4 linked regions of the Stegostoma tigrinum genome follow. The protein of the gene in region 2 interacts with the protein of the main gene of each other region in a pairwise test. Links are inferred from orthologs where the notes say so. Each region holds a gene or a part of one and is shown on either strand. Other genes may lie near its edges.

Evidence for each region.
Region 1: the proteins of alas1 (region 2) and dusp19a interact in a two-hybrid assay, tested with the Homo sapiens proteins (3 studies listed by BioGRID and IntAct). The two-hybrid records come from large-scale screens. The link is inferred for Stegostoma tigrinum from reciprocal best matches to the Homo sapiens genes ALAS1 and DUSP19.
Region 3: the proteins of alas1 (region 2) and poldip2 interact in binary tests that used the Homo sapiens proteins (3 or more experiments, as listed by UniProt). The two-hybrid records come from large-scale screens. The link is inferred for Stegostoma tigrinum from reciprocal best matches to the Homo sapiens genes ALAS1 and POLDIP2.
Region 4: the proteins of alas1 (region 2) and ppl interact in binary tests that used the Homo sapiens proteins (3 or more experiments, as listed by UniProt). The two-hybrid records come from large-scale screens. The link is inferred for Stegostoma tigrinum from reciprocal best matches to the Homo sapiens genes ALAS1 and PPL.

The regions. Positions count from the first base shown.
Region 1 is NC_081360.1:40,834,819-40,842,199, forward strand, and holds the start of dusp19a (dual specificity protein phosphatase 19a), read right to left. Parts: upstream 3,021-7,381; 5' UTR 2,774-3,020; coding exon 2,551-2,773; intron 812-2,550; coding exon 765-811; intron 1-764.
Region 2 is NC_081364.1:23,022,380-23,029,763, forward strand, and holds the start of alas1 (5-aminolevulinate synthase, nonspecific, mitochondrial), read left to right. Parts: upstream 1-4,377; 5' UTR 4,378-4,720; intron 4,721-7,384.
Region 3 is NC_081380.1:48,677,730-48,684,571, forward strand, and holds the start of poldip2 (polymerase delta-interacting protein 2), read right to left. Parts: upstream 3,023-6,842; 5' UTR 2,814-3,022; coding exon 2,680-2,813; exon of another isoform or gene 2,579-2,679; intron 793-2,578; coding exon 711-792; intron 1-710. Other genes in the region: tmem199 (transmembrane protein 199), read left to right, coding at 3,515-3,698. UniProt on the Homo sapiens protein: Involved in DNA damage tolerance by regulating translesion synthesis (TLS) of templates carrying DNA damage lesions such as 8oxoG and abasic sites.
Region 4 is NC_081376.1:46,890,307-46,897,751, reverse strand, and holds the start of ppl (periplakin), read right to left. Parts: upstream 3,006-7,445; 5' UTR 2,780-3,005; coding exon 2,736-2,779; intron 1-2,735. UniProt on the Homo sapiens protein: Component of the cornified envelope of keratinocytes. May link the cornified envelope to desmosomes and intermediate filaments. May act as a localization signal in PKB/AKT-mediated signaling.

The sequences.
Region 1 (7,381 bases), on a different chromosome or scaffold from region 2:
AGCAATGTTATTTGACATGTGGAGGAGCAGTTGTCTGGAGCAGATATTTTTTCAGAAGCCAAAGTTGGAGGCAGGCTGAGAGGTGTGAATAATAAGAGAAATAAGGAGATGAAAAGCCATCAACCTAGGACACTCACATCAAGTTTTCTCTCCACAGATGCTGCTTCATGCATTGAGTATTTCCAGCATTTGCTGTTTTATATAAAGGAAATAAGGAAGTACTCACAGCATACGTGAACAGCAGTCAGGAGTGAGAAACCTGAATATTTTTCAATTCCTCAAGCAAAGAGTGCCAGGATCCATTGCTGAACTTGCAATTCAGTTAAGATCACCTCACTCATCATTGATCAGTTATTGCAAGGAGACATTGTGTTCTCTGTGACACTACTATACTAGGCAATGCCTTCAGAAGAGCTAATGTTATTGATTTAACTTGGTAGTTCCAAGTTTCGATTGGGGGTACAATTTATAAAAAATTCTCCCAGACCTCCAAGTTACTCAGCAACTGCCGCTGAAATAATTGACAACCTTACCTGTCCCCAGGCATCACAAATGCTAAATCATGTTAGCTGCTCAAAGCCAACTTGAGTAATGATTTCACGACCAGTTTTACAAATGGAGCAGTCCCTGCTCTCCTACAAAAATGCACTTTAGTACCATTAGCTGAGTATATGCATAAGTCTTGTTCTGTAGTTCACTGCTGACAGTCCAAAATTTTCTTTTACTGAAACACTACCTAAACATCTGAAGCATTTTCATGTTACCTTATAATCTTTTAATTTTTCATAGTCATGTGCCACATCTTGGGATGCTGGAAGAAAATTAAATGCAAAAAAGTCAGCAATGTTCTTAATTTTGAGGAATTATGGAGAGGAATAAGATGTCAATGTCCACATAGGAACAAAATGAGGATACAGTTATTCAGGATACCTTATGCAGCTTTCTTTTACGTTTGGAAATTAACAGTAAACAGTAACATGATTCCAAAGGGGATGGAAGAGAGAACAATTTTCTACAGTGGCGATATACTTAACACTAACAGGATTATCGAAGTGGTGGATAGAATTTCCATATTATTGTACACAAGCTGAAAGTAGGTCCTGCTGAAAATGATGAATCAGCTATGGGGGGGTGGCGCAAATATTAATCACCAGTTCTAAGTGTAAATTGTTATAAATTTATAATGATTGGTTCACGTTATGACAAGTCACCAAGAATCTTTTAAAAATTAAATTTTATTATTAAATGTACTTTGAACTAAATATGCAAAAATCATGCCAGCTACTGACACCAAAAAAAGAACTGAATCTACAGGACCTTTTGAAAGTTGTCCGGTAAATTAAGTCTCATGATATAATACTGCATCAGCAGTTACTTAGGTAAGTCTGGTACACAAAAATGAATCAGATAAATTTTGACAACAATAACATTTACTTGTGAAAGAAACTGCACAAATTAGCAAATCATTTTAAATCTATGTCTCGATAGGAAGAACAAGGTTGTGATTGTATGGCCTCCTATTTCTCAGACTATGGGAAAATACTGAAAGAAAGGTAAATATAATCCTTACAGAAAGGATCATAAAATTTAATAAGTAGTAGAACGCTCTGCCAGAGCAACTCTGCCCCAATCAGAAACAAATGCATGTATACAAACAGAGATAGTAGTTTCTGAAGAAGGGTCCTGACCCAAAACATCAACTTTCCTGCTCCTCTGATGCTACGAGGCCTGCTGTGTTTCTCCAGGTCCACACCATGTTACCACATACATACAAACATATGGGTTAACAAAAATGGGCCATTCAGTTTCTTCAGTCTGCTCAGCCATCAAATGTAATCATGGCTGATGCCCCAACTCCACTTTCCTGTCAACTCTCATACCCTTTGACTCCCTTGTCAACCAAGAATTTATGCAATGATCCAACCTCCCCTGCTCTCTGGGGAAGGAAATTCCACAGACAGAGGCCATCAGAGGGAAAAGTAAAATCTCTATCTCCCTTTTAAATGTTACTTTAGCCTCTTATTTATATTATGATTGTTTTATTATTATCTTTACTCAAAATCACAGGAACAGTTCACTTATAGTACTTATACAAACAACAAAAAAAAGTAAATGGCACAACTTAAAAAATATTACCTTGGAATGCATTCTCACCATAGATTATACCTGTACAGGTATATAATGACCCTACTGGCTATGTGCATCCATCCTATTATGTGATTAGTGCCCATAAATTTGCATATTTGATTTCACAGTATCCTTTTTTCTTAGATAACTCAGCATTGTTGCAATTATATTTAAAGTGATTAATCATTTATTTTGAAAATAAAAAAGCCTTCAAGAATAGAGATAGTAGGAACTGCAGATGCTGGAGAATCTGAGATAATAAATTATCCAGCTCTACACATTGTTATGTCAGCCTTCAAGAAGTTTACTTTTCCCCTTCAATAATCAAAACGAATGCAGGAATTCAATACCCTGCGAAAACGATGCAGTAGTCAGACTACAATGAACAAAAGCTTTAGAGAATGTCAGTTAATTTTAGCTCACCGAGCATTAGCCAGGACTTGACAACACCAATTTTCAGATCGAGGCTGGTGTCCTCGACATATCCGCAAACTCCATCCGTTTGTTGAGCATCTTCCACTATCTGCACTCGAGCGTCTCTCAGTGTTTCAATAAGTCTTTTCCCAGTAATGGTTGTTACTCTGGTGCTCTGTTTCTTCAGCGAAGCCTTTGAGAAAGCCTTGATTTCATCGGCAAGTGAATACATCACATTTCAATGGGAGAAACAAGTCACACAACAGGGAGGAAAGGCAGTAAAATGTGCTAACACACTGAAATGAAATTATCAAAGAATGCTACCACACACAGTAATCACTGAACTGAACAAGTGTCAAATAAATTACTTGCACCTAAACATATTTAAATCAAGCGTACTTTCACAATACATTCTCTGTTCATTTCCCTGTTTTGCACGCTTGCAAAGCATCAGTGAAAACGCCAACCACAACACTTCCAGAGTTAGTAACATAAATAAAGCAGAACCCGACGACTCCAAGCCTACTGCCACCTACACCAGGAAGACCACAGTTAGTTGCTTCGCTTTGGTCAGGACTATACAGGGTATGCGCTGAATTGTTTCGGAAAACTGAGAACATGCAACATGATAACGGAGGTGCAACTAATAATTTGTGGGATTGGGAAATTCTCTTTACAGGCAGTCTATCTCAGATGTATTCCAGAAGACGTATCTATCCAAATTGAGAAGTTATAAAACAAAGATATTTAATCGTATGGGAATTTTAAATATATCAGTGAGATCAACAGTAACTAAAACTCATAGCCCTAGAAATGCAACTACATAAAATCTGGTGTCAAACACGAAAATGGGAGTACTATGCGAAAAGGTGAGAGTATAGGCACAGAAAAGTCTTGCTATAGATGTACAGGCCTTCTTTGTGATCACACCTGGAATAAAAGTGTGCCATTTTGATCTCTTACCTTAGAGATCTACTTGCCATGGAGGGAGTGTAAACAAAGGTTCACTAGACTGACTTCTGGGATAAGAGGTTTGTTATATTATATTATATGATAAGAAGGATGTGGAAGCTTTGGAAAGGGTGCAGAGGAGATTTATTAGGATGTTGCCTGGTATGGAGGGAAGGTCTTATGAGGAAGGGCTGAGGGACTTGAGGATGTTTTCATTAGAGAGAAGAAGGTTGAGAGGTGGCTTAACTGAGACAGTATTCACTCTAGAAAATGACAATGTTGTCGAGGACAATAATGAGATGCAGGATACTAGACTAGGTGCGTTTTAGGTTCACAGGGAAGACGTATTAGAAATCCCACAGACTGTGAAGATAGATAAGTCCCCTGGGCTGGCTGGGATTTATCCTAGGATCCTCTGGGAAGCCAGGGTGGAGATTGCCAAGCCTTTGGCATTGATCTTTAACTCGTCATTGTCTACAGGGATAGTGCCAGACGACTGAAGGGTAGCAAATGTGGTTTCCCTGTTCAAGAAGGGGAGTAGAGACAACCCTGGTAATTATAGACCAGTGTGCCTTACTTCAGTTGTTGGTAAAGTGTTGGAAAAAGTTTTAAGAGATAGGATTTATAATCATCTAGAAAATAATAATTTGATTAGGGATAGTCAGCACGGTTTTGTGAAGGGTAAGTCGTGCCTCACAAACCTTATTGAGTTCTTTGAGAAGGTGACCAAAAAGGTAGATGAGAGTAAACCGGTTGATATGGTGTATATGGATTTCAGCAAGGTGTTCGATAAGGTTCCCCACAGTAGGCTATTGTACAAAATGCGGAGGAATGGGATTGTGGGAGATATAGCAGTTTGGATCAGAAATTGGCTTGCTGAAAGAAGACAGAGGGTGGTGGCTGATGGGAAATGTTCATCCTAGAGTTCAGTTACTAGTGGTGTACCGCAAGGGTCGGTGTTGGGTCCACTGCTCTTCGTCATTTTTATAAATGACCTGGATGAGGGCGTAGAAGGATGGGTTAGTAAATTTGCAGACGGCACCCAGGTCGGTGGAATTGTGGATAGTGTTGAAGGATGCTGTAGGTTACAGAGAGACATAGATAAGCTGCAGAGCTGGGCTGAGAGGTGGCAAATGGAGTTTAATGCGGACAAGTGTGAGGTGATGCACTTTGGTAGGAGTAACTGGAATGCAAAGTACTGGGCTAACGGTAAGATTCTTGGTAGTGTAGATGAGCAGAGAGATCTTGGTGTCCATGTACACAGATCCTTGAAAGTTGCCACCCAGGTTGACAGGGCTGTTAAGAAGGCATACAGTGTTTTAGCTTTTATTAATAGAGGGATCGAGTTCCGGAACCAAGAGGTTATGCTGCAGCTGTACAAAACTCTGGTGTGGCTGCACTTGGAGTATTGCGTACAGTTCTGGTTACCGCATTATAAGAAGGTCTTACGAGGAAAGGCTGAGGGACTTGAGGCTGTTTTCGTTGGAGAGAAGAAGGTTGAGAGGTGGCTTAATTGAGACATATAAAATAATCAGAGGGTTAGATAGGGTGGATAGGGAGAGCCTTTTTCCTAGGATGGTGACGGCGAGCATGAGGGGGCATAGCTTTAAATTGAGGGGTGAAAGATACAGGACAGATGTCAGAGGTAGTTTCTTTACTCAGAGAGTAGTAAAGGAATGGAACGCTTTGCCTGCAACGGTGGTAGATTCGCCAACTTAAGTACATTTAAGTCGTCATTGGACAAGCATATGGATGTACATGGAATAGGGTAGGTTAGATGGGCTTCAGATTGGTATGACAGGTCGACACAACATCGAAGGCCAAAGAGCCTGTACTGTGCTGTAATGTTCTAAGTTCTATGTTCTATATAGGGAGAGATTTGGTCTGCTGAGCCTGTATTCACTCACATTTAGAAGAATGAGAATTGATCGATCAAAACAAGATATAAAATTCTAACAGGCTTGGACAGACTGGATGCAGGGATGATGTGTCCCCTGGCCTGGGATTCCAGACAGGGGATCACAGTATCAGGATACATGGTAGGCCATTTTAGATTGAGTTGAGGAGAAATGTTGTTGCACAGAGGATGGTGAACTTGTAGAAGTCTCTACCACAAAAGGGGTCAATTCACTGGATATTGTTAAGATATAGATTTTTACAGATTGGCGTCAAGGGTTGTGGGGTGAGACTAAAAACAAAAAAAATGCTGGAGATCACAGCGCAGGTCAGGCAGCAACCATGGAGAGAAAGCAAGCTTATATAACCAGCAAAGCTAAAAGAAACGGAAGGAATGTGTTCACAATCTGAAGGTGTTGAGTTCAACATTGAGCCCAAAAAGGCTATAAACTGCGTAAGATATTGCTCCTCCAGTTTTTGCTGTGATTCGCTGGAGCATTGCAGCATTCTCCGACGCTGTGCCCTTTCTCCCCTCCCCCACAATCCACTGAGACTTTCTGTTCTTTCCAGCCTGGCAGTTAGACACACCATTGTTTTGCCATTCTCACATTCCGATAAGAAGCTCAGTGGGCTCAATAGCCTATACCTTTTCCTATTTTCTGTTTTCTATGTTTCCGCTTCACAATGCAAGAAACTGTATTCATGCTAGCAATGCCACTGGGCACACATCATATACATCATGTCTACTCAAGGTCCTTACCCACCTCATCCACTGCAACCATAAGCTCGCTTGCCTTCTGCCTCTTCTCCTGGTCATGAATCACCGCTAATTGCTGTTGCATCTAATTACATCATACTCAATTTCACCCTTTGTTTCATCGCAGGAGAAATTACATTGCAACTCAGCTGACATCAGGTTCTCATTTGGTATGAAGAGGAACTTCTGGACTTGGCTAGAACAAAGCAGAACGACTCATGTAGGGTATCCTGAAGGGTGGCACCAGTGGGCAACAAACACAGTAAGCTTCAATGTGCTGTGTTGTTCTCCCATTTCCACCAGTTGTGGCTCTATCCCCAACAACTAATTTCCTATTTTCTTTTGAAGGCAGTAGGGGTGCCCAGTGAAGTTCCACAGGGTGACCAATGTCAAAATCCCTCAGCTGCACCTCCACTTCTGAGGAGGAGGAGGCTCAAACCTCAGAAGGTACACTGGCAAGACCTTCACCTGCACGCTCCACCAGTTCAAAGACTTCCATCTCAGTGGGTGCTCCATTTAGATTAGACTCAGGAGGCACAATGTTTTATACAGAATACTAAGACATATCTACAACTGATTGAGGGTTAACTACCAGAGGTCTCTGGCCCAGGCAGAAGATGTGCACTTGCTCTAAGCCATAAATGACTTGCTCTGTCTGCACAGAAAATCAGGCAGCAATGTCAGACACAGTGAGTAAGCCAGATCAACGGATAAAGGATTCCATAAGTATTCTCTACTCCATTGACTCCAGCTTGTGAGCATCTGGCTACCTCCATGCCAATCTTGGTAAGCACTTTGGAGAGCCAGATCCAGCAGAATGCTCAGTCTCTGCAAATACATGCTCAAACCTAAACTTCATTGTTTTAATCTTTGCCAGCATTAATAACAAGAGGGACCTTGATGGTATGCCAGGTGTCCTTACCTCTCAGGGAAACAGGCACACAGATGGTGGAGGAGTGACACAAAGGCACCCCAAAGGTTTCTTCTCTGCAGACTCCAGAGGTGCCTGGCCCCTGAATCTCCCCCACATGTAATCCCAAAGTCTGCCACAGTACAAGATGAAGAGGGGGAATGGGGCCCTTAGGCCCAAAGGCGTCAGAGGATGACAGTCCAAGTCTCCCAGGTCAACAAGGAGAACCACAATTCAGGGCCTTCCACCCTGAGCTATGAACTTCAGACCCGCATGTAGATGTAGTGAGAGGGAAAGGAATTGAAAATATCCTGTCATGGACAAAG
Region 2 (7,384 bases):
TATAATTAAACATTTAAACATGCTACCTAAAACAAGTTGCTTAATTTCAGTTAGCAATTGAAGATCTTAAATTGGCAGATGAGGCTTGATTTAGTTGAAGAAGGGGAAAAAAAATGTTGATTGGTGCATATTTATTGGAAAAGTGGGTGATCGGCACAGAAGCCCAATGGTACAGGATAATGTTGTGGAACTGTGGGTTTAAATACAGCCATGGCAGCCGGTAGCATTTTAATTTAGGTAGGGATGAACATAAAGGTGCCGTACAAACAATTGACTGGATTTGATGTGATAATGGGAACTGCAGATGCTGGAGAATCCAAGATAATAACATGTGAGGCTGGATGAACACAGCAGGCCCAGCAACATCTCAGGAGCACAAAAGCTGACGTTTCGGGCCTGGATCCTTCGTCAGAGAGGGGGATGGGGTGAGGGTTCTGGAATAAATAGGGAGAGAGGGGGAGGCAGACCGAAGATGGAGAGAAAAGAAGATAGGTGGAGAGGAGAGTATAGGTGGGGAGGTAGGGAGGGGATAGGTCAGTCCAGGGAAGACGGACTGGTCAAGGAGGTGGGATGAGGTTAGTAGGTAGGAGATGGAGGTGCGGCTTGGGGTGGGAGGAAGGGATGGGTGAGAGGAAGAACAGGTTAGGGAGGCAGAGACAGGTTGGACTTCTCTTTCGATTCCTCCCACTTCCTACAGACAAAGGGGGTGGCCATGGGCACTTCCAATTCCCTGGCCCCCAACACCTCATTTTCACCATGGACGTCCAGTCCCTATACACCTGTATTCCACATGCAGATGGCCTCAAGGCCCTCCGCTTCATCCTGTCCCGCAGGCCCGACCAGTCCCCCTCCACCGACACCCTCATCTGTCTAGCCGAACTCGTCCTCACCCTCAACAACTTCTCTTTCGATTCCTCCCACTTCCTACAGACAAAGGGGGTGGCCATGGGCACCCGCATGGGCCCCAGCTATGCCTGCCTCTTTGTAGGTTACGTGGAACAGTCGCTCTTCCGCACCTACACAGGTCCCAAACCCCACCTCTTCCTCCGTTACATTGATGACTGTATCGGCACCGGCTCTTGCTCCCCAGAGGAGCTTGAACAGTTCATCCACTTCACCAACACCTTCCACCCCAACCTTCAGTTTACCTGGGCCATCTCCAGCACATCCCTCACCTTCCTGGACCTCTCAGTCTCCATCTCAGGCAACCAGCTTGTAACTCATGTCCATTTCAAGCCCACCAAATCCCACAGCTACCTAGAATACACCTCCTCCCACCCACCCTCCTGCAAAAATTCCATCCCCTATTCCCAATTCCTCCGCCTCCACCGCATCTGCTCCCAGGATGAGGCATTCCACTCCCGCACATCCCAGATGTCCAAGTACTTCAAAGACCGCAACTTTCCCCCCACAGTGGCCGAGAATGCCCTTGACCACGTCTCCCGCATTTCCCACAACACATCCCTCACACCCCGCCCCCGCCACAGCCGCCCAAAGAGGATCCCCCTCGTTCTCACACACCACCCCACCAACCTCCGGATACAACACATCATCCTCCGACACTTCCGCCATCTACAATCCGACCCTACCATCCAAGACATTTTTCCATCCCCACCCTTGTCTGCTTTCTGGAGAGACCACTCTCTCCGTGACTCCCTTGTTCGCTCCACAGTGCCCTCCAACCCCACCACACCCGGCACCTTTCCCTGCAGCCGCAGGAAATGCTACACTTGCCCCCACATCTCCTCCCTCACCCCTATCCTAGGCCCCAAGATGACTTTCCGTATTAAGCAGAGGTTCACCTGCACATCTGCCAATGTGGTATACTGTATCCATTGTACCCGGTGTGGCTTCGTCTACATTGGGGAAACCAAGCGGAGGCTTGGGGACCGCTTTGCAGAATACCTCGCTCAGTTTGCAATAAACAACGGCACCTCCCAGTCGCAAACCATTTCAACCCCCCCTCCCATTCTTTAGAAGACATGTCTATCATGGGCCTCCTGCAGTGCCACAATGATGCAACCCGAAGGTTGCAGGAACAGCAACTCATATTCCGCTTGGGAACCCTGCAGCCCAAAGGTATCAATGTGGACTTCACCAGCTTCAAAATCTCCCCTTCCCCCACCGCATCCCAAAACCAGCCCAGTTCGTCCCCTCCCCCCACTGCACCACACAACCAGCCCAGCTCATCCCCTCCACCCACTGCATCCCAAAACCAGCCCAGCCTGTCTCTGCCTCCCAAACCTGTTCTTCCTCTCACCCATCCCTTCCTCCCACCCCAAGCCGCACCTCCATCTCCTACCTACTAACCTCATCCCACCTCCTTGACTTGTCTGTCTTCCCTGGACTGACCTTTCCCCTCCCTACCTTCCCACCTATACTCTCCTGTCCACCTATCTTCTTTTCTCTCTATCTTCAATCCACCTCCCCCTCTCTCCCTATTTATTCCAGTTCCCTCTCCCCATCCCCCTCTCTGATGAAGCGTCTAGGCCCGAAACGTCAGCTTTTGTGCTCCTGGGATGCTGCTTGGCCTGCTGTGTTCATCCAGCTTCACACTTTATTATCTCAAGTTTAATTGGCTGGGATTTGGCAATTAGCACAACTCAAAAATTCTAGAGTAAAAAAACCTGTACGAATTTAACATGAATTCCACTGGGTGTATTGTGTAACAAAGTTAAGTGGAAATGTGTTGATTTTCACGTTCATACTTTTGCACTGATTTAATGTTTTCTATGGCAAACAGTGGTGGCGTGTTGTACTAGTAGTTTGTTTTTTTTTTAAAAAGGCATGATTTGCAAATGAAAGAAAAGCAATCCCTGGACACCCATACGTGATGACTTGACAGCAATGAATTTGTAATGTACTGACAGGCTCGTTCACATTTTTCACAACACTGGGGCATCCAAAGCCCTTTGTAACTTCCGGGGTAGTTTTTAACTGTAATTAATGTTGAAACTCCGTAGGTTATTCGTTCATTATTATTGCATCAGAAGTTGCTTGCTAACTTCCCCTTGCGTCAGTATCTGAACACGTACACTTCCAGCAATTCCCCAACGATCAGGATTGGAGTTCCCCCTTCCCCGCTCAGTTGCTATTCATGTGAAATGAATTGGACACAGTCCAAGTCTCCGCTTTGAAAGTTTAAACAGACTTGTTTTGGTCTGTCTCTTAGCATTAAAAAAAATGATTTCTCTTGTTTTGTCCCTGTGTGAGGATTAAGTTAGTGAATTGTAGCATTTTTCATTGCCTTGTGTCAGTGAATGAACAAATTGCATATGCATCACTCCAGAGATCAGGTACTAAAACATCACCAGCACGTGTCACTCAAGTTTGGAGGAAAGTGTATATGATTTCGCAAGCCCTCTTGAGATATCTTCATATTGTGTGAGTGAGTGCTGGAAAGGGTCATTGTGCAGAGTACGTACAATTAGGGGGCCTTTCCTGCATTATCTTGGCCTGGCCCTGGACTGTGAAGTGGCAATGCACTCGCGACTTTCTGTGACCCATCTGCATTCCAGCCCGAGAGAGTAGAAAGGATGATCCCTCAAAGAAAGCAATTTCTTCTCGAGCTGTTGGGGAGTTGACATGCAACTGTGCAGGTCGTCACAAAAAATTATATAGTTAAGCCTGAGAAGGTGGTGCTGTGACAGTAGTACTGTCAATGAGCTAGCAATCCAGAACCACAACACTAACGTTTGGCTTCATGTGGTGCATGCTATGACATGTACAGGCTGCAATGGGATCATGTTCTTTAATCCGTTCTCAAGTTGACTTGTACTCCAGTCTGAACGTGATTGTAGGACAATATGAAATAGCTTTCTTTTAAGTACAGGAAATATTTGTATGTCAGATGTTTAAAATTACACCTTAGTATGGGATCATGTTCATAAGTTGGATGTTTGCAAATTGGGGGGGCCCCAGGATATCAACAGGTTAATTACAAATCTGGTTGAGGAGGTGGTGGTACAGTGGTAATGTCACTGGGCCAATCATCCACAACCTCCTGGTGATCTAAGAGCAGAAGTTCAAATCACACCAGGGTGAATGCTGTTAAAGGGGAGGGACGGCAGTTGTGCCACAACGGTCCCGTGGACCCAGGTCCAAATCCCAGAGGTATGTTTGTTTGTCAACCCACGGGAACAGGATGATCTGAAAGAACATCTACACTAGAGGGCGCATGAGCTTCAGAAGGTTTGAAGTCAGTGGGCGGGGACAGGTGCGTGGATAGGGGCGGAGCAATTTGGGGAAGGGGCGGAGATAGCTGGGAAGGGGCGGGGTCAAGGGCTGGGGCGCGGTCGACTGGAAGGTGGGACTGACGGGTGGGGCGTGGCGGACGGGGAAATCTCGCGATATTCGTCTGCTTTGCTTAATGTTATTACCGGCGGTGCCGCGCGGCTTCTCTTCAGTTCGTCCTCAGTGCAGGACAACGAGAGCGAGCGACCCGGTTACAGTCAAGGTGGCCCTCGGCGTAGGACAACAGCGGGAGAGACCGAGCTATTTACAGTCCAGTTCGTCCTCAGTGTAGGACAACAGCGGACGGGACTGAGACTATTACAATCTAGCCTGGCTCAGTCGCACACCGCACCGATAGCCGAGGCATAAGAAGTTGCTGGAAAAGCTCGAGCAAGTCTGGCAGCATCTGTGAAGAAAAGAAATCCGAATTAACGTTTCGGGTCCGCCGACCCTTCCTCAAAACCGCTATCCGTAGCATTAATAACTGGTAAGGCACAGACATCTGTCGGTGTTTTCTTCCAAATGGGATTTGTTGGCTTCCTGCCTATCCGCGGCGACTAGGCCCTGTTATCCCGGTTACTCCGGCTGTGCTGCTGCCTGCTCCACAACAGGGACAAGGAGAGGGAGAGGTTCCCTTTTGCCTGGGGGATGGGATGGGAGGGGAGGAGAGGCGATAACCTTTAAACCAGCTTTAGCCAAGCAGTAGATTTATGGGCTCGGACTTCACGGGGTCTCCGAGGTGGGCTCCTGTGTCGTGCTTCATGTTCTCTTGTTTATGAAGCTGAAATGTTCCTCAGTTTTTTTCCAAACAAATGATCAGCTTGTTGATTCTCTTCCGCTTTCCGTCCTTTCACGTATACGGGAACTGTGGCTCTGTCAGGAATCATGGGCCCAACTGTTTAAAAATTGAGAAATGTTGGGGTTTTTTTCCGGGTTTTTTTGCCCTACATGGAATAGATCAAATTCTTTCAGAGGCGGATAAAGGTCATGTAAAATGTTAGGACCGCTCAGCTGATTAGGTTGCATTTGTAACGGTGGAATACAGGTGAAGAGTCATACGCCTGAAATGTGGACTTGGCTCCATTCTCCACAGGTGCTACTGATTTGAGTCTTTTCCAATGCTTTTCTGATTCCTCTGTAGTTGATGTGCTACTTATTGTAAAACTCACCTACTTTGTGTTTTAAATGAAGTGTCCTTTTAGGAAAAAAGGATATATATTTGCCAAACTTGTACCTGTTTATGTTGAGTACTCTAATGTCAAAATGTGCTAATCTTTAAAGTGCATAACTACCTGCCATACTTGTATTCTTTAGATGAATTTACAGGAGTCTGATATTCTATTTTGTATTCTGTTCACAATGCAGGGATTAAATAAACTCTACCTGAAAGTGTATACCTGCAACTATGAACTAGTTTATGGAGAAATACATTAATTTCTTGCTTAGATGTGTGATATCTATGTGTGAGAGCATAGATAGGTTATATGATTTTTAAAAGAATTTGAGGGTGAACAACACAATAATGCAAGCTTTGTCTTGTAAAGAAAATGCTTTGACTGCAAAGCAGATATTTTCAATGAACACTAATTTCAATCCCTAACATTAATTTCTGTCAGTGGCTTTGCACATTTTTTAGCTCAATTTTACAGCTCTTTTGTGGATAATTCACAATTTCAGTTGTGAACTGATGTTAGCACTTCCAAGCTATTTTCAGTTTTGAAAACATAGAAATTTTAATATGCCCAATGTCTCATTCTAGTTCATTGGTTAAAATAAGTGATATTACTGTGTCAAAATGCAGCTACTGTGAATGTTGCTCTTTAATAACACCGTTTACTTCCCTCTGACCTATTGTCACAGTTTTGAGAGCTATGAATAATAGACTTGCTCATCATGTTGCATCATAACATCATCAATCTGCAGTAAGATACAGTAGACTGGTCCTTTGTGACTCTGGCAGTTCCACAAGCTAATTGAAGGAGGAAATATATTGCAGAAAGTTATAATTATCCCTACACTTGTAATTTTGCATTTGACTGTACTATGTTTTTGAAATGGTGCGAGAAAGATACTGTAGGTGGGGTCTGAGCTTTGTGCTGTTTATGTGCACATCCAACTTGGATGCCATTAGACAATCTAAATAGATACAGTATACTGTTTCCTCCTTCACATTTGCCAGAAGTCTGGCAACAGAAAGTTTCAACATCCTGTTATGAGCCTATATTTCTAATATTTGGATTTTATTTTTGAATCGACTCAGATTTCTTTTTAAATGTTGAAGGCTCCCATTAGATAAACATTCTAAAGATTTGAATTCAACAATAGTCCAGTAAATCAAGATGTTAGAGCTTAACTGTTGTGACTAACTTAGAACAACGTGCAATTGATACAAATTCTGAAAAAAAAATTCTCAATGTAGCCTAAACAATGGTAGGATATTACCTTATTGGAGGTCTTTCAGGTCTCAAGTTCCTGGGAGTAGCTTATTTACTGTAGTATTCTCTACAAAAGTTGACTTTGTTTTCACCCCTGTTATCACTTTCAACCTGAGGGATCATTTGAGACGGAGCTTGTCTGACTGAGCTATAACTGAATCTTGCTTTAGAGATTACCGCTGACAGAAACATTAAACAGTTAGTAATCAGGCTTGGGGAGTGGGGGAGGGGGGTGGTAAATATCTAGAAAATGTGAGATTGTGGAAATTCTAAGTGGAGAAGTTTTAAAAAGTGGTGTTTTTGTTTGATCTGTCATTGGAATCTCTTGTTTTTAGAATCCCTAGGATCCAAGGAATTTCAAGAGTTTGAGTTAAAAATTGAATGGGCTTGAGATTTTCGCAACTGCCAGTTTTAAGAAAAAAACTCTGGAATATTTCCTAGTAAAATAGAATTTGAGCTCATTTACTGTAAATCAGTGGCCTTGGAAATTAAAAGACTGTTTAGTGCAGCTGGCGACTGGTACGGCTCCATGAAATCCTCATTTAAACAGGAGTTTAGCTCATTCAATTATCTGACGCCAGAGTGTCCGTAATTTATAAGAAATATTGAGAGATTGATCTGACATTGGTAAAACTAGGAGTTGTCACTTTATTTTCTTGTCACAAAGGTTCCAGTTACACTCAGGTTATTTTTACAGCAGGGTGAGAGGATAAAAG
Region 3 (6,842 bases), on a different chromosome or scaffold from region 2:
AGGATTCCCTAACTTTAGTAAACCAGATGGATATTTATGACAATCAGCAATGGTTACATGGTTGCCATCAGAAAAGCTTTTGTAATTTCAAATTTTTTTTAATTGAATTTAATTTTCACCAACAGTCTTGCTGGGATTCAAACCCATGTCCCCAGAACACTAGTTCTGGATTGTAAATGACTAGTCCAGTAACGTGACCATTACACCATCACTTCCTCCAAGTATCTCAGTGTCAATCTTGAATAAACTCTAACTGCATGTTTACAGCACTCCTCGCAAAAAGAATTCCAAAGACTCAACTCTCAGAATCAAGACATTTTTCACCTTAGTCTGAAATAGCTGAACTTCATAACCTGAGACTGTGAACTCAACCCATTCCAATATTCAAGCTGTCAAATAGTCCCAGAATCAGCTTTGTTTGAATTAAATCCCCTCACATTCTCCAAAACATCAAGCAACGGGCAGGTTCATTCAGTATAAATCCACACAAGCAGCCAATGTCTGCGCCCTTTACCCAATTCCACAAAGTGGAGCAGACAGAGGGTTGGACTCACATCCAAGAGCCTGGGTCTTTGTGTGGTTCTGTTGCCACTTACCACCCCCAGGAGGGCCTATTGCTGCCGTGCCAACCCCAGGATGCTGGAGTGGGTCTGTCTCCCACTCCCACCCCTAGAACCACAGTAATTTTAAAGTTCAACTCAAATTCTTACCTGCCCTGTTTCATATTTTCCTTGTTGCTTGAGTGCCTCAAACACTCCAACTGGCTCCAAAACTTTGCCTTCAGGACGATTCCTGTGAAGACAAACGAAGCTGGACTTCAGAACAGACCTCAATGACAGCGCTGACAATCTGCAATCCCCAATCAGTCACCAAAGTACTAGTTGCTTGAGCCACCTTTTTGCACAGCACATGATACTGCCACTCCCAGAAAATAAGAAAATTTAATGGAGTATACAGCCATTCAAAGGCAAGTGACATTTGTGCTATTTAAATGACAGGTAATGACCATCTTTAACAATCGAAGATCTAACCATCACCTTCTGACGTTCAATGGCACTCTCCCCACCATCAACATCGTAGACATTATTGTTGACCAGAAATTGAATTGGACTAGCCTTATAAATACTGGTGCTACAACAGCAGGTCAGACGCTGGGAAATTTGTTCATGGGCTATGACAGGTGCTGGCTGGGCTAGCATTTATTTCCCATCCCTAATTGCCCCAGAGACGGTAGTACAGATCTGTCCTCTTAAACCTGTGCAATGCCTGGGATGTAGGCTCACAAACAATACCATTAGCGAGTAAGTTCCAGGATCTTGATCCAGCAACAGTGAAGGTACAACGATAAATTTCCAAGTCAGTATGGCGAGCAGCTTGGAGGGGAACTTGCAGATGGTAATGTTCCTATGTCTGCTACCCTTGTCCTTTGAGATGGAAGTGGTCTTGGATTTGGAAGGTGCTATTTCGCAGTGCATGTTGTAGATAAGTAAACACTGCTGCTACTGAGTGTCAGCGGTGGAGAGTGTGGCCATTTGTGGATGTAGTGCCAGTTAGGTGGACTGCTTTATCCTGAATGGTGTCAAGCTTCTTGAGGGTTTTTGGAATAGCAAGTGGGGAGTATTACACCACATGCTTGATTTGTGCCTTGTAAATGGTACACAGGCTTTGGAGAGTCAGGAGATGAATTACTCACCACAGGTAGTCCTAGCCTCTGACCAGCTCTTGTAGCCACTGCATTTATGTGGGTAGCCCAGTTCAGTTTCTGGTCACTGGTAACCCCCAGGATGTTGACAGTGGGTGAATTCAGTGATTGCAACACAGTTGAATGTCAAGGGACAGTGGTTAGATCTCTCGTACTGGAGCAGGTCATTACCTGGCAGTTGTGTGGCATGTTTCAATAAGGTCACCTCTCATTCTTCTAAATTCCAATGAGTACAAGCCCACTCAATCTCTCCCATGTCCTGCCCAAGGCAGTGTCCAGATCCATCCTTATCCCCAGAGATAATGGGAACTGCAGACGCTGGGGAATCCGAGCTAACAAAGTGTGGAGCTGGATGAACACAGCAGGCCAAGCCACATCATAGGAGCACAAAAGCTGACATTTTGGGCCTAGACCCGTCATCTCCTCACTGGGTTCAAGCCTTGCCTCATGCCCCTACACCTCTGCACTCCGAATCCACCACCCTCTGCTCTCTCCCCGGATCCCACGCACAGCTTGCTGTGACCTGTTGCTGGGTGCAAGATTCTAGGTGCTTTATTCCCCACTTTCTCGACATGTCCTGTCACCTTCAATGATTTTATACCCCAGGTCACTCTGCTCCTGATTCTCTTTAGAATTGTTTTCTTTAGCTTATGATGGCTCTCCATATTCTCACAACCAAAGTAAACCATCTACAAACTCACAGAAGCATTGAATATACATTAAACTCTTTACATTAAACTGAATCTGTCACTTATCTCCCCAATCCAACTACTTGCGCCTGCTTTTTCCAATTTTTGTGTCACCTGCCAATATTGATTATGCCCTTCACTAAAGTTCCAGCTGTTAACACGTTACTGGTTGGTGCAGCAGATAAATCTGTCAGGGAATGTCCCAGAGGTGTAGGAACCGCGGATTCTGAAAACAGAGAAGATCCCCAACCCCAGGCCCGGGGCCTGTGTCCCTGGCCTCCTTCCTACCTGGACGACAGGAGCCGAGCGTGCTGCTGGCGCTGGCCCACACCGCAGGCCGAGCAGACGGTCAGGGCCCGAAGCCGGAGAGCGGGGTTTGTGGCCAAGGCCGAGAGGCAGCGGCTCAGAGCCGGGCCCGCCATCGATCCTGCAGGCCCGACGGTCAGCACATACAACTCGAACCGGCCTCGGAGATGGGCAATACCCGAGTCCGCTTTCTTACGGCGTTACTGCAGGCCAAGACCCCTCGGCGGCGGGCGGCCCCTATCTCTCTGTCTCCCCCGGGGACGGCAGGCGGCGGGCAGCCTCTCTCTGTCTCTTGCCCCGATCCCGGGACTCTGCCCCGAACAAAGATGGCGGCTGCGGTCTGGCAGGTTGCCATGGAGACGGGGCCTAGCGCGGCTTGAAGCCTGCGCCGCCGATTCAAGGTCAGAGCCGCAACAGTAGCTTGTGTCAAATAATGCGGGGGGGGGGGTGTTTTTTTATTCATTATCTGAAAAAAATTGTAAAATTTAATGCTCAAGACATTCAGTCTGGGCGGCAAAAGTGACTATATTGTATAATAAGCGAGTATTATGATAATAATACTCCCATTAGCAAGCTTCATCGCTGTTTATAAATGATTGTGCAAAATAATGTCCTCATTCTTCAAATCCTCATAAAAGACTCATTATATTTAACTATTTGGAATAGTTTCTGTGGCTCAAGGACTATAATGAAATCGTTAAATTCCTAGGAGGTAATTACTTATCATTGAATTTTCTTTTCAAATAATTGTCGAGCTTTTTAAAGTCGGTGTGTAAGTCGTTATTTACAGGTTATCTCCTTGCTCAGGTTGGGGACAATGGCGTGTGTTCTGAAGGTCAGGGATTGCTTCAAGCAGCAACTCGACCGTGTCCTGAAAGAGGGTCATTCTATCCCTGAGGATCTACATTCTGAACTCAAATCCTGCCTCGGCAAAGCCCATTCCCCCTGCACAGTCTCCTTCGAGCTGCTAAGAAAACTTCACAAATTCTTACAAGAAAAAGGTGAGTCATCCAGTTCTGGGATTGTCACCCCTGTGTTAACCAGCCTGAATATACTGGCTGGAACAAAAACAGAAGTTGCTGGAAAAGCTCAGCAGTCTTGCAGCATCTTGTGAAGATGGAAGTTCTGAGGAAGGGTCACTGGACTCAAAAATGTTAACTCTGAGATAATGGGAACTGCAGGTGCTGGAGAATCCGAGATAACAAGGTGTAGAGCTGGATGAACACAGCAGGCCAAGCAGCATCAGAGGAGCAGGAAGGCTGACGTTTCGGGCCTAGACCCTTCATCAGAAAAGGCCATTTCTGATGAAGGGTCTAGGCCTGAAACATCAGCTTTCCTGCTCCTAAGATGCTGCTTGGCCACGTTAACTCTGATTTCTCTTCACAGATGCCATCAGACCTGCTGACCTTTTCAAACAACTTCTGTTTTTGTTTCTGATTTAGAGCATCTTCATTTCTTTCAGTTTTCATTGAATGCAATGGCTGCTGTTTATTAGATACTAGCTAGTAAATTACCGCATGCCCAGATTTGGAACAGTTCTTCTGACATTTTGAAGATTTACAAGGATGTTGCTGAAGTTGAAGGGGTTGAGCTATGTGGAGAGGTATAATAGGCTGAGGCTATTTTCCCTGGAGTATTGGAGGCTGAGGAGTGACCTCATAGAGGTTTATAAGACCACGAGGGGCATTGATAGGGTAAATAGGAAATGTTTATTTCTCCGAGGTAGGACAGTCCAAAACTAGAGGGCATAAGTTTAGGGTGAGAGGGGAAAGATATAAAAGGGACCTAAGGGGCAACTTCTTCACACAGAGGGTGGTGCATGTATGGAATGAGCTGCCAGAGGAAGTGGTGGAGGGTGGTATGATTTGAAGCATTTTAAAAGGCATCTTTTAAAATGGATACATGAATAGGAAGGGTTTGGGGGATAGGGGACAAAAACTGGCAAATGGGACCTCATGGATGCACAGTCTTGAGTTGCTAGACCTGTTTGAAGTCAGTTCCATTTAGCACAGTGATAGTGCCACACAACACAGTGGAGGTTGTTCTCAAAGTGAACGTGGGAGTTCATCTCCACAAGGACCGTGAGGTGGTCACTCTTACGAATAATTTCACGGGCAGATGCATCTGCAGCCAACAGATTGGTGAGGATGAGGTCAAGTAAGTTTTCCCCTGTTGTTAATTCCCTCAAATACCAGGCATAGACCCAGTCTAACAGCTATGTCCTTTAGGACCTGACCAGCGTGATCAGTAGTACTGCTGCTGAGCCACTTTTGACGGTGGACATTGAAATTCCCCACTCAGAGTACATTTTGCACCCTTGCTACCTGCAGTGCTTCGTGCAAGTGTTGTTCGCCGTGGAGGGGCACTGATTCATCAGCTGAGGGACGTTGTTATGTGGTCATCAGCAGGAGGTTCCTGGGGTCCTTGGTCAATGATGAATACTCCCAGGACAATTCTCTCTCAGTTGTTATTCAGTTCCTGTTCCTGGCAGCTATGTCTCCATAATCCTGACTATATTATATTTGTTTTTATCTTGTGCAATTAATTTGTTCACTTGATTGTGTATGCTCTGTGGATGAAGGTACAAAGTGTTGAGGCTTGTGTTTTTACTATTACTTGTCCAGTTTGAGCACGGCCTTTGCTTCCTCTGTTAGTCAATCACTTTTCTTGTTTCCCCTTCCTGTGTTTTGTTCTTGTCATTGATTCCGCTTCCTCTGACAACTTACACAAGTTTCCATTTAATTGAAACATATAAAATAATCAGAGGGTTAGATAGGATGGATAGGGAGAGGCTTTTTCCTAGGATGGTGACGGCGAGCACGAGGGGGCATAGCTTTAAATTGAGGGGTGAAAGATATAGGACAGATGTCAGAGGTAGTTTCTTTACTCAGAGTAGTAAGGGAATGGAACGCTTTGCCTGCAACAGTAATAGATTCACCGACTTTAGGTACATTTTAAGTCGTCATTGGATAAGCATATGGACGTACATGGAATAGTGTAGGTTAGATGGGCTTGAGATCGGTATGACAGGTCGGCACAACATTGAGGGCCGAAGGGCCTGTACTGTGCTGTAATGTTCAATGTTCTGTGTTCATTTAAAGCCATCCTAGCCACTCAACTCAATGTTGCCCTGGGACACCCTGCCCAGAAGTAACCCATTCAGTTTGTACTATTGTACCTTCCCCAGAACCAGCCCCAAGACCCTATGATCTGAAAACCTAATTTTAATCCTAAGGTTACTACCTTTGTGGTCCTACTTTTAAACTTATTTCCTAGCTCTGTATGTTCTGCTTTTTAGGACCTCATTTTTTTATAACCTATGTCATTTGTACCAATGTGTGCCATTACTACTGGCTGTTTACCTAGCCCTCCAGAATGGCCTTTAGCTCCTCTGAGATTTCCTTGTTCTGGCAGGAGCAAAGCAACATACTATCCTGGTTTGTGGCCACAGAAACACCTGTTTATTCCCCTTACATTTGAATTGCATTCCCACACTTTTTAATTATCCCTTATGCAGCTGAGTCAATCATGGTGCGACAAATTTGGCCTTCGCTGCTTTCCCCTGTGAGGCCATTCCTGTCATCAGTATCCAAAGTGTTAAGTCTGTTTTGCATGGCAGTAGCCACAGGAGACTCCTACATTGCCTTCTTTCTCTGCCTTGTGGTAACCCATTCCCTTCCTGCCTGTGATGTGACCACCATTCTATATGTGCTGTCCATGATACTCTAGGCCTTGTAGAACAGCACAAAGGGACTTGCAGGAGCCGCAGCTGGAGGCATTTCCTGCACATGTGCTGATCCTGGAAACTGGAACAGCACAGTGTGGCTTTGAGCTCCACTGCCATGACTGACCCCTTTCAAATTAAGCCTTTAGGTTCAAATGCTTAATATCAACTAATATCAATTACTTCAGAGCCTATATTCCCTGTTCTTCATTACTAGAAAATAAAGTCCTTACAAACTACAAACCACAGAAGAAAAGGCAAAAAGCACCACTTAACCTCTGCACTGAATTTCGACTCCAAATTCGCAGAAATCCCCATGTGCTTTGGCTGTGTCTCACTCAGGATGTGTTCGCTTCCAAGTGTTCATGATTTGTTTGACAACCTTCCTCTAGTTTCTCATCGAGATGCTGCCTTTTGTGAC
Region 4 (7,445 bases), on a different chromosome or scaffold from region 2:
CCCTGCTGAGATTGAAAGCAATTTTTAATGAAGAAAGCTGCAAGCAGATCACAGATTTTTTTTTTGAAAAGCTAACAAAATAATATTATTGATAGTTTTGGATTATGATGGGAGAGGTCCTCAAAAGGTATGTAAAACATTGAGCATACAATTGGGGGAGGTGATGGCCTAGTGGTATTGTTGCTGGACCGTTAATCCAGAGACCCAGATAATGTTCTGGGGACCTGGTTCGAACCTGCCACAGCAGATAGTGGAATTTGAATTCGATAAATATCCAGAATTAAGACTCTAATGATGATCGCGAATCCACTGCCGATTGTTGGGAAAAACCCATCTGGTTCAATGATGTCCTTTAGGGAAGGAAATCTGCCATCCTTACCTGGTCTGGCCTACATGTGACTCCAGACCCACAGCAATGTGGTTGACTCTTAACTGCCCTCTGGGCAATTAGGGACGGGCAATAAATGCTGCCTGGCCAGTGACACCCTCATCCCGTGAATGATTAAAGGAATTACCTATAACTAAAATCCGTCTTTTAAAAGCAGACAGCATCAACTATCTTTTCAAAATCCAAAAAGATAGTATCCACCATCTCACTTTCAATCAACAAACCATAAAGAAATAGCAACAGAGGTAGACCATTCAGCCCCTTGAACCTGCTTTGCCATTCAATAGGATCATGGCTGATTTGACATACATCACGCCCATTTTCCTGCCCTTCCCCACAATCCTTGATTCCCCTACTGATCAAGAATCCATCTAACAATCCATCACAGCTTAAGTATTCTCAAGGACTCTGCACAAGCCACAAACTACTTATTGTGTTTCAATGCTGGCTGGCTTTCTTTTGCACTCCTTTGAAAAACATCAACATCAGCAGCTCACAATACAGCTCTGAGTAGCATCCCAAGGCAATTAAATTTAAACATTAATACCATTTGTCAACATATTCAGCTTTTAGTGTTATTCCCTCTTAAAATCAACCTTGGAATTTATCCAGTGCTGTTTTCCCCCAAAAATTAACCACTTCATACAATTTGCAAACAAAAACATTTTGCTCGATATTACAGAATTTGCTATTCAACGTGTCCCAATACAGAACTTTGCACGGCAGACAGTGATAATAATATTGTTGGACAAAAAGGCACATTTCGTCAAAGCTGCTCATCAGGCGTGTATTGTGTCAGAGTTGGTTATCTCAGTTGGCTGCTCATGATTCAGAGTGATGCCAACATTGTGGGTTCAATTCCTAGCACCAGCTGAGTGGCCTTCTCAACTCCTCCCCTCACCTGAGGTGTGGTGACCCTCAGGTTAAATCACCACCTAATCCCTCTCCCTAATGGAAGGTAGGACTATGGCAACTTTATCTTACATTTCTTGTCTATTCTGCTGATGAGTGCGAGACAAAAAAACTTTGACAAACGTGTCTTATTTACCAGCCATACTCAAATACTATAGAACCAAACGGCTGATTGTAATGGTTGGAAATATTTATAATGTTTCCCATGTCATCTGTGCATCCAGAGAACAAATGAGTTGCTTTAACCCCATGCCTAGGAGATAAACTCTTCCACACTTGAGATAATTTAATCCATAAGTGGGACAGTGACACCATTATTCTGTCAAAATGTGCGTTATCATTCAGAAGAAGTTTCTGGTGACAAGTAGACTAATTTTCCTGCTGGGAGTGATAAAAGCTCCCACTGTCAAAAGATGTGCAGGTTAGGATGGACTGGCCATGCTAAATTGCCCATCGTGTCCAGGGATACGCAGGCTAGATGGACTAGCCTTGGGAAATGCAGAGTCACAGGGATAAGGCAGAGGGGTGGGTTTGGGCGGAATGCTATTTGAAGAGTCGGCTTGGGCTCATCTGCTTCCGTACTGTAGGGATTTTAAAATTGCTGCATGTTAGGAAGGTAATTCAACACATCAGCTTTACCCTGGAGGAAATATTTTTAAATTTTGTGATTATGCTTGAAGTTCATCCATCAGACCATGTATAGAAGCTGGTTTTGTTATGCAAAACGTCAGAAGTCACAGAGATATTAGGAGTTGCTGGACCTGATTACTGAATTAGCCTGACGGTCAGAGGTTTAAATGCTTTGGCATTTGCTAGGCTTCATTCTATTATCAAAAACCTTTAACACTTTTACTGAGGATTATTAAATTGCATTGCGCAGAGGATTAAACTCCACCCATCTCAATAAGTCACTGGGATTCCACAATACAGATGAAAACAGGTCAGAAAATTGTGTAATAAACTAAAATAGAAGTTCAAAATAAGCAATGTGTGATCAGTCCGTGTGAGCAATATTTCATCTACAGTATACTGACTGGGCTGCAGATTGATAGTCTAAAGTATTCATGTCAAACAAATACATTGCAAAGTCCTTTTAACAGTTCATATTGGAGATTAAAACAATGTGGACAGATGTTTAAATCTCAGCATCAGAACCTTTCACGTTGTTCATTCCTGCTTTAATCAGACTTCTTAGAGTTACCTCAGCTGACACACCCTCCCCTCCTGAACTTGAAAGCAGCTTTTAATTAAGAAAGCCACAAGCAGATCACAGATTGTTTTTTGAAAAAAAGAAGAAACTTATTGATTGTTTTTGGATTATATGGGAGAGGTCCTCAAAAGGCATGCAAAACATAGAACATATAGTTACCCATAAATAAAATGCGCTTTTCTTTTAAAAAAAGGCACAAGTATAAATATATACGACAACACTTACTTGGTTTTGGGGGGAGTTACATTCTTGGGTTTCTTTTTAAACATCTTGGCAGTCCCTGGTTTCACGAGGAAACGATAAAAATCCTTATCCCCCACAGACGCAGTTTTATTCTCTCTCTCTCTCTAACCCTCGCTCCCTTTCTCTGAAGAGTTGATAAAGAGAGAGCTCTGACTTCTTTGCTCCAGTAACACTACAGAGAGTGTGTCAAGTGTGTGTATGTGTGAGGGAGATACACACCGAGCTGCTGAGCTCACCTATAACCTCCTCCTCTGCCTCTCCCACACTATTTACCTGAGACTTCCAGCAGCTGATTGACAGGTGCAGCCACGCAACACCCGCCCACCGTATCGACACCGCCCCCTCTGCATTCCCATTGGCCGCCCTTCTATGGTTGCACGGCAACCCCGCCTTGATTGGCAGACAATGACCACGCCCCTCAGCCCTCCAGTTGCTTTTGGTGGCTGGCTTGGCACCTCCCAGCTCTTACCTGGCCCCCAGGTAAATTCTGAAGAAGATCATTGGGCTTGAAGTGTAACTTCTGATTTCTCTCCACAGATGCTGCCAGATCTGATGAGCTTTACCAGCACTTTCTGTTTTTGTTTCTGATTTCCATTATCCACATTACTTTTTCTTGGCATCTACTGTGAAGAGTGTATCTGGGACAATGGAGTATACTCCCTTTAAATATTGAACACAGTTCCTATCTGCTTAACTTTAAATGATGTTGTTAGGACTGGAGGGCTTCAGCTATAGGGAGAGGCTGAATAGGCTGGGGCATTCTTCCCTGGAACGTCGGAGGATGAGGGGTAAGCTTGTGGAGGTTTATTAAATCATGAGGGAATAGCCAAGGTCTTTAAATAATAAAGTGTAGAGCTGGATGAACACAGCAGGCCAAGCAGCATCTCAGGAGCACAAAAGCTGACGTTTCGGGCCTAAACTCTTCATCAGAGAGCTCTGATGAAGGGTCAAGGCCCAAAACGTCAGCTTTTGTGCTCCTGAGATGCTGCTTGGCCTGCTGTGTTCATCCAGCTTCACACTTTATTATCTTGGATTCTCCAGCATCCGCAGTTCCCATTATCTCTGAGCCGAGGTCTTTATCCGAGTGTGGGGGAGTCCAATGCCAGAGGGCATACGTTAAAAGTGACAGGGGAAGGATTTAAAAGGGACCTGAGAAGTACCTTTTTCACACAGAGGGTGGTGCATGTGTGGAGCGAGCTGCCAAAAGGTCGTGGTGGAGGTGGGTACATTTGTAATATTTAAAAGGCATCTAGATGGGTACATGAATAGGAAGGGGTTAGAGGGGCGCGGGCCAAATGCTGTCAAATGGAACTAGGTCAAGTTGATATGTCTGGTCAATGCGGGCGAATTAGACTAAAGAATCCATTTCCATGACTCTATAGCTTGAAAAGACTGGGTAGGTAAAAACAAGCTATTTCCACTCGCTGAAGATTCTAGAAATAAGGAATTAGTCTGAAAATTAGGGTCAGACCTTTTAGGAAAGATACTGGGAAGTACTTCTACAAGAAAGTGTCGCAAATATTTGGAACTCCCTTCCACAAATATTGGAGGCTGGATCAATTGTTAATTTTAAGCCTGAGATAGGTAAATTTTTTGTGAAGCAAAGGTATTTAAGGGATATATGCCAAAGGCAAGTAAATGGAGTTAGGCCACAGATCAGCCATGATCTATGTGAGTGGCCGAGGAGGGTCTAGGGGCTGAATGGCCGACTCCTGTTCCTATGTTTTTCTAAGTGAACTGGGCAGCAGGGTGGCTCAGTGGTTAGCACTGCAGCCTCACAGCGCCAGGGACCCAGGTTCGATTCCAGCCTCGGGTGACTGTCTGTGTGGAGTTTGCACATTCTCCCCATGTCTGCGTGGGTTTCCTCCGGGTGCTCCGGTTTCCTCCCACAGTCCAAAAGATGTGCAGGCTAGGTGGATCGGCCATGCTAAATTGCCCATAGTGTTCAGGGGTGTGTGGGTTATAGGGGGATGGGTCTGGGTGGGATGTTGCATGGGGCAGTGTTGGCTTGTTGGGCCGAAGGGCCTGTTTCCACGCCGTAGGGAATCTAATCTAAAAGAAGCAAGGGTGAGGCAAAGGAACATATTTTCAGTCAATGAGTAGTTGGTGGAGGACACCTGGAAATGTGGTGGAGGCAGGTTCAATTGTTACAGCTTTATAAAAATTTGGCTAAGCCTTGGTTAGAGTATTGTGTTCAATTCTGATTGCCACATTACAGGAAAGACGTGGGGGCTTTGGACAGGGTGCAGGAGAGGTTTACCAGGACGCTACTTGGATTAGAGGCTATGATCTAACAAGAGGCTAGAAAGAACTCAGGTAACTTTCTCTGCAGCAGCAGAGGCTGACGGGAGAACTGATAGAAGTTTATAAAATTACGAGATGGATAGATAAGGTTCACAGTTAGAATCTTTCTCGCAAAGTTGAAATGTCTAATGCAGGGGGGCAGGGTGAGAGGAGACAAGTTCAAAGGAGATGGGAGGGGCAAGTTTTTTTTACACAGAGAGTGGTAGGAGCCTGGAATGCTCTGCCAGGATTGGTAGAGGCAGATATGATAGGGATGTTTAAGGGATTTTTAGATAAACACATGAATATGCAAGAAATGGAGGGAAATGGACCAAGGGCAGGCAGAAGGGATTAATTTATTTTAGGTGACACATTCGGCACAAATTTATGGGACAAAGGGCTGGTTCCTGTGTTGTAATGTTCTATCTTCTAATTGAGGCATTCAAGGGGGCATTGAATAATTATTTGTACAATATTAACATGCAAGAGTACAGGGGAAAAAGCAGGAAATTGGCATGAGGTAATGATGTTCATTTAATGAGCTTGCGTAGGCACAATGGGCTGAATGGTTTCCTTCCAGACCGTAACACTTCTGACTCTGTGAAAGGGGTCTCCCATTTAAGACCATAATGAGAAAGGAAATTTTCTCTCCAAGGTTCATTAATCTCTGGAATTCTCTACTCCCGAGAGCCATAGACTATTAAATGTACATCTATGTTAGATAGATTTTTTTGATCTACAACGAGCCAAGGTAATGGAGAGCACATAGGAAGTGAAGTTAAGGCCTCAGCTATGTCCACCATGATTTTATTGAACAGCAGAGCAGGATGGAGGGTTAAAATGGACAACCCTTAGCCCTATTTTGTACCTTTTATGTCGTAGATGTCCTAACAGCCTGTAATATATGACTGCTTTCAATAAACTGAAGTCTAGGACAAAGCAGCCCACTGGATTGGCACCACATCCACAAGCACCCATTCCCTCCACCACCGACACTCAGTAGCAGCAGTGTGTACTATATCCAAGATGCACTGCAGAAACTCACCAAAGATCCTCAGATAGCACCTTCCAAACCCACGACCACTTCCATCTAGAAGGACAAGGGCATCAGATACATGAGAACACCACCACCTCCAAGTTTCCCTCCAAGCCACTCACCATCCTGATTTGGAAATATATCACCGTTCCTTCACTGATGCTGTGCCAAAATCCTGGAATTCTGTCCCTAATGGCATTTTGGGTCAACCTACAGAGAAGGACTACAGCGATTCAAGAAGGCAGATCACCACCACCTTCTCAAGGGGCAACTAGGGATGGGGAAGAAATGCTGACCCAGCTGGTGATGCCCACATTCCAGAAAAGAATAGAAAAAAAATTCCTACACAACGCCTTAGTAATCAAAACTTCTCAAAACCCTTCACTCAATCATCCCAAGCAGTAGTTCCTTCAGTTATGTAGACAAAACTTGAAGCCATTCTGAAAGCAAAGTCTAACAATGCAACATTCCCTCCATTGACAAACACCTGGCACTACCACCCCCCTGACATGGCTCACCTCAATCCCTACTTCAGCCCAACTGCTACTGAAACTTTTCCACATTTTCTTCAGATCTCCAGGCAGAGGTATTCCGATTCTCTCTCTGTCACCTCGTCAGCTTCCATCCTCCATGAATTGGTTCCCTTCCTGACAGGGAGGAGCTGTTCCCATTGGTGGAGGATCGAGAACCAAAAGACTGCTCCTGGCCTACATCACTCCAAACCTTTCCTATTCATGTACTTATCCAAATGTCTTTCAAACTTTGTAATTGTACCCACATTCACCACTTCCTCAGGAACTGCATTCCATGTGCAAACCGTAGTCTGTGTAAAAAAAATTGCACCTCATTTCTTTCTCAAATCTCTCTCCTCTTACCTTAAAAATGTGCCCCTCGTCTTGAAGTTCCCCCATCCTAGGAAAAAGACAGCTACCATCAACTGTATCCATACCCTTGTTATTTTATAAGGCCTCCTCTCAACCTCCCACACTCCAGCGACAAAAGTCCCAGCCTACCCAGCCTTTCTCTATAACTCAAACCTTTCATACCCGGCAACATCGTGTGCTTTTCCAAACCCTTACATGCTTCATCTTCAACTTTTCATTCACTGCAAAAGCTTCACAGTTTCACCTTCAAGATGTTCTTCAATGCAACAAAAATATAAGGTGAAGTTGCCAAATCTGTACGCACGAGTTGCTTTTTATTCGTTCATGGGATGTCGGTATCATGCGATAGACCACCATTAATTGTCCAGAGGGTAGTTTGGAATCAACCACATTGCTGTGAAATCATGACCTGCATATACTTCTCGAAAAGACATTAGTAAAATAGTTGGGTAGTCCTGGCAATCTGCAACAGTTTTCATGGTCATCAAT